Saccharomyces cerevisiae S288C: one gene and its partner. The protein of the gene in region 2 purifies or fractionates together with the protein of the main gene of each other region. This does not show direct contact. Each region holds a gene or a part of one and is shown on either strand. Other genes may lie near its edges. The genes, in order: ATP20 and TIM11.

Evidence for each region.
Region 1: the proteins of TIM11 (region 2) and ATP20 purify together in Saccharomyces cerevisiae (affinity purification with western blotting; 4 studies listed by BioGRID, with this or other methods). This does not show direct contact.

The regions. Positions count from the first base shown.
Region 1 is NC_001148.4:597,782-600,913, reverse strand, and holds ATP20 (F1F0 ATP synthase subunit g), read right to left. Parts: upstream 1,045-3,132; coding exon 697-1,044; downstream 1-696. Other genes in the region: AGC1 (citrin), read left to right, coding at 1-265; MCM DNA helicase complex subunit MCM4, read right to left, coding at 1,363-3,132. UniProt on the Saccharomyces cerevisiae protein: Mitochondrial membrane ATP synthase (F(1)F(0) ATP synthase or Complex V) produces ATP from ADP in the presence of a proton gradient across the membrane which is generated by electron transport complexes of the respiratory chain.
Region 2 is NC_001136.10:1,111,347-1,114,136, forward strand, and holds TIM11 (F1F0 ATP synthase subunit e), read right to left. Parts: upstream 948-2,790; coding exon 657-947; downstream 1-656. Other genes in the region: mitochondrial 54S ribosomal protein mL38 MRPL35, read left to right, coding at 1-346; PEP7 (phosphatidylinositol-3-phosphate binding protein), read right to left, coding at 1,134-2,681. UniProt on the Saccharomyces cerevisiae protein: Mitochondrial membrane ATP synthase (F(1)F(0) ATP synthase or Complex V) produces ATP from ADP in the presence of a proton gradient across the membrane which is generated by electron transport complexes of the respiratory chain.

The DNA of each region.
Region 1 (3,132 bases), on a different chromosome or scaffold from region 2:
CTCCCCCGATAACAAATTAAAAAGCAGAGAGGGTAGGAAGAGATTTTGTATCGATGACGACGCAGGCAATGAAGAGACAGTAGTTCATAGTAACGGTGAACTCCCACAGCAAAAGTTTTACTCTGATGATAGAAAACATGCCAATTATTACTATAAAAGCTGTCAAATTGCGAAAACATTCATTGATTTGGACAATAACTTTTCTAGGTTTGACTCTTCAGTTTATAAAAACTTTCAAGAGCACCTAAGAAGCATTAACGGGTGATTTATTTTCTTCGTCAGTTTCTCTGTACATATATATGTATATATTTACTTATTATAATTCATAGCAAAATATATGTTTTTTTTTTTTTCTTATAGTGAGAAAAATTACTAATGATCCTGAGATCAATTTCACTGTAGTTTTTACTATAGTGCAACAAGTATGTTGTTCTTAATAAGTGTAATGAAAGCTCTGAGGTCAAGTTTTCTTTTTTACAGAAAAGTTATATTGGCCTATTTCATAAATAACTGGCGGCAAGAAGCTAATGTAATATAACTCGATATCGCTTTTAATGCCATTGTATGTCATGAAAAGAAAATAAATAGAATTGAGATGAATATATATTCTTTTTTCTAGTTTTGTTCTATTTGTACATTGATTTAATTTAATTAACGAATATACAAGGGTTTTGCGAATAGATAGAATTAAAAAGCTTAGTGATGTTTATATCCCACTAATTTTCTTCTTCCAATTATTTCACCGACAGAATAAAACCCTATCAACTGAATACCATATGCGCCATATTTTAATAGTTCATTCTTTTGGATGTTTTTTAAACACGATAAAACTTCTGTAGGCTTTAGAGCAAAGTTTAGGCTCTGCTTATAAAGGTTCGAATACACTGATTTGAACTGGGCAACAGTTGGTGGTTGAAGACCCTCTTTTAAATAAATCTGTTTTGAAATCTCGGCACCGACTTTACCATAGTATAAAGCCTTTGATGACAAAAGATTTGCTTTAGAAACCAACCCACTGGTATAATTTTGGATCCTGCTTAGCATGATGAATTGATTAGCGTTCTGAAATATGATTTATCGGCAGGTTTATCTTGTCGATTTGGACTGGAGTAGAAAATATGAGGGATCTTTGCATCTTCATTTTTCGGTCTTTAAATGTAATCATCCTTCGGGATAAATTTAGTGCGTTTAACAATATTTTCTTTCAGCCAATCAGGAATAAGAAAAAAGCCGCCCACTCAATCGAGCCTACATACAGTATTGAATAGTGTTACAAAGCATAAGGATGTAAAAAATACAAACTTGCTATAATTAATTAGTATTTATTAATTGTTACGCAGGGAATGATTGTAGTAGACAGCATCAGACACGGTTATTCAGGCGAACTGATCTCCTTACACCCTCGCCAAGGACAATGACCTTGTCCTCTTGTTGCAATCTTGACAAGGCTTCCTGGATATCAGAAGACTCAACTCTATCTTGAGAGTGTTCATTGATTTGTTTTATAAGCTCATTGAATGACATTGAGTCTGATGCCTGATCCTTCAAAACATTCATAATTTCCCTTGACAAATCCTCCTGTAGTTTTCTCTGAATAACTGATTTACCTGTTTGAACTAAATTCATGTCGATTTTACCGGTTTTAGGGTCTGTTGCATAATCTTTTATGGCTGATCTAATTAATCTAACGGCTTCTTGAACATCCTCCAGCTCTACGACGTTTTTCAATTTCATTTTGGCGTGCGCCTCAGCCAAACGAATCATACTTTCAAGTTGTCTTGTGGTAGCTGTGATTCTCTTCTCATCGGATCTCGAATCGTCACCCATCTTTCTCATTCCTACATAAGCACGAACAAGCTCAGTCTTAGCGGCCTCGGTGATTATTGGGTGTATGTGCTCCTTTGCATAACTAATATACATCGTTAAAAATTCAACTGGTAGCACGTCGTCTTGAGAAATATGTTCGGGCTTATCTTCCAGGTAAAGATTTGTTAAGTGTTTGGCTAGTTCTCTGTCATTTTTCTCATCAACCTTATCAAGGACAAGATAGACCAGATCGAATCTCGAAAGTAGTGGGGGCGGTAGATCAATATTTTCAGTCACAGGCAAATTGGGGTTGTAGCGTGAACCAATTGGGTTAGCACTGGCCAAAATAGAACTTCTGGCATTAAGTGTTGTGATAATTCCCGCTTTTGCGATTGAAATAGTCTGCTGTTCCATGACTTCGTGCAAGACGGACCTTGTAGAATCACTCATTTTATCAAACTCGTCAATACAACAAACACCTCCATCAGACAATACTAATGCACCACTTTCCAAAACAAGTTGTTTTGTGTCGACATCCCTTGTAATATAAGCAGTTAAACCAACGGCAGATGAACCTTTACCCGAAGTATACACACCACGAGGAGTAATTTTGTGAACGTATTGCAAAATTTGCGATTTGGAAGTAGAAGGATCCCCACAAAGTAAAATATTTATGTCACCTCTATAACGGCCACCCTTGGTAAAGGTTTTATTCGTGCCGCCAAATAGCTGAAGTAATATACCCTTCTTGACATCTTCTAGCTCGTAAATACTTGGGGCAATAGAGCGGGCTAATAAACTGTATAAATCTTCTCTTGCCGCAACCTCGCGAATTTTTGCTAAATCCTGATCAGTAATTTGTCTTACTTCTTCGACCTCGTTATGATCTACCTTGTTCTGCATTAATTCTTGTTCAATAGTAGAAGTATCGACGTCTAACCTCTTATCTGAAACTTTTTTAACGTGGACCACATCGACGTATGTTTTATACAACGACTTTAGTACGCGTTGCCTGGAATTAGCTCTAATGGGGATGGACCTGAACGTGCCAGTCACCTCAATACGATCGCCCGCCCTGCAAGAATCCACTAATTCATCGTAAACACATAATGAGATAGAGTGAGGCGTTTGTCCATCAGGCACAAAGTCTGGAGTTTCCTGTAACTTAATGACTTGTTTATCTGCGAATGAACACCTGTTGTGAATCAGTGACATGGAATTGGGTTCATTACAATCAATACGTTCACACCTAGCGGGCTCTTGTATAACTCCTCTATCAATTTCCACTGCCATTGTATGATCGCAGACGTTGCATTTGAAAAACGC
Region 2 (2,790 bases):
TTTGACTTATAATGACAATTTAATAGATCCAAGAAAGTTCCACAGTTCTAATATTATCGCTGACTACTTACCTCCGGTACCTGAAAAGAATGCTGGAAAACAGAGATTCGTTGTTTGGGTATTCAGACAACCCTTAATCGAGGATAAGCAAGGTCCTAACATGTTAGAGATTGACCGAAAGGAACTAAGTAGAGATGATTTTGATATCAGGCAATTTACGAAGAAATACAATCTAACCGCTATTGGGGCACATATCTGGAGAAGCGAATGGGATGCCAAAGTCGCCGCCGTCAGAGAAAAATATGGCCTACCACCTGGAAGGGTTTTTAGCAGAGTTAGAAGGTGATCCTAAATAGTATGACATTATAGTATCCTGTACATATAAAATAACGTGTCATTGTTAATAAAGCTTGATGCAAATAATATAAAGTAAGAATCTGAAAAATTTTTGGAATGTGAATTTTGTTTACAATACGATACGTATGATATTAGTATGTTCTAGAATATATACATTTCATTTTTTTCCTTATTGTTTGTGCACTAACGAATGAAGAAAAAAATATGGAACATCTAGCGAACGAGAATCCATCATAACTTCGTCATTCAGTGCGAGCTAATGTGCATTTTTAGTATCCTATTTATGTTGAAGCTTCTATTTATGTTGAAGCTTCCTTCAGGGATTCAACGGCGTTAAGAATAACTCTTTCAAAATCTATATTAGGATCTTCCAAATTAAATGAGGCGTTCGCAGGCACATCTTTAGGAGTTACTACAGGGTGTAGCTTGGCGTATTCCTTCTTTGCCTCCTCTACCAGCTTCAATTTCTCCTCGTACTGTGCCTGCTCCTCTTTCTTCTTAGCATTACACTTCAAAATCATATCATTTCTAAAACCAAAAAATAGCCCCAAACCCAACGCAGAGTATCTCAAAACATTAACTGTCGACATCCTTTAACTCACTCAGCTAGTTCCTATATACGTTATGTTCCGATATAATACTTCCTTTTATCTAAAATTTCTGTGTGAAAAGTCAAAAAAACTAAAGAAAAATTTATACCCTTAAATAGATCTGATTGGCTCCGCGGACCAATTAGCGTGGAGATTCCGCGAATGATCGAATAATAAAGATATGTCTTAATTAAACCCATGGTCACCCAGCTTCGATTGAACGGTATGTATTCTTGAGTGCAATTCTTCTAAGTTCTTATTAAGTGTGACGATCTCCTCCAATCTACGCTGCTTCTTATAGTCCTGAATTGTGGACTCAATAAGGTAGCTTTGTTCCTTTAGGACCATCAATTCTTCTCTCAGCTCTTTCACTTCTTTTATGGTCAAGTTTTCGATCATTAGTTGCGATAATTTCTTTACCTCTGGTTCAGCTTTTTGCCCATCTTCATTCGTTTTATGGCCCTCTGGGTTCAAAATTGCCGGAAGCGACTTCAACGGTAGGATTTTTTCGTTTATGTATGCAGCGGAAGCTATCTTGATCGAATTTTGAAGTTGTCTCTCTAGATGACTTTGAGGTTCTACACTTAAGAGCTGTCTTGTTAGTGTATTATACAAGTTAAAAGAATTGAGTAATTTATGTCTTAATCGAGCGAGATCATTCAGATTCTTTGGATCAAGTGTATTTTCAGAATCCTTGGCAGTCTCCACCTTCAGGCTATTCAATGAGTCTTCAAAAATGGGCAGGAGACTATCAATTACTTTGGATATATTTTGCATGCTATCATATTTAGCAAATATTCCACTTAGCGGCATTCTAACGTCCTTGTTAAATTTCCTGCCAATAAATAGCATATCGATACAGTGCGAGCACAATCTTATGGATATAGGAATATGAAGTAAATCATCCTTCTGTATATTGTATTCGAATGGCAGATCTGACGCTGCAGACATTAAATAACCTATGCTTATTTCGTTTGAGCAGTTCCTGTTTGCATCATCACAAACAACCATACCACATAATCTGCAGTGATGCTTCCTTAGTAATAGCCCAAATGGTTCGGAACATATGTTACAAAAGAGTACACTTCTATCATCTCTCCATGGAGTAACTGTACGTTCTAACTTGGACATTTCACTATTCATCTTCAAATTATGAATAATGGATCTAGAATATGTGTTATAGAGTGTAATCAGACCATCAACTAGACGGACAAACCGATTTTCTAATTGTAATAGCCTTAAGTTTTTGTCCTCTCTTTTTATATTTCGTACCTTAAAGAATTCTGGTGTTAAATCTATTACTTCGCCATAATCGTTATAGCCAGGTTTTGTGACGAAACAATCATGGCAGCAATTGTACCATTTCCCGTTTCTGGGGTCATACTGTGCGGAAAGATTAAGTTTAATCATATTAGGAAGATGCCTTCTGCAATACAGTTTACCACATTTCCTACAATTAATGGCGCCAATATTGTTATTCAAAGTCCTTCCACATGTGTGACAGCAGCTCTTCCCTTTTTTGAATTTTTCCCAATGGCTTCTTTTCAACTTTTGCGCACTGCTATCAACAGATCTGGCCTTTTTTTGTTTACCATTGACTAAACGACTGTCATTGGAACCGAGTGAATCTTCATTATCGTTAAACCCATGCTCAACATCTAAATGTGCATTTAGTGCTTGTAAGTTATCAAACTTCCTTAGACAAATGGGACATGAAACATTTTCAAGATCCATAATAGATAAGTCGCCAGGAAATTCGGTGATATCCCTTTAAAAACCATGAGATCCGGCTTTGCTCTTTAGGTCGGTCAATTTAGCTACTGATCATATGTTTTCATTATTC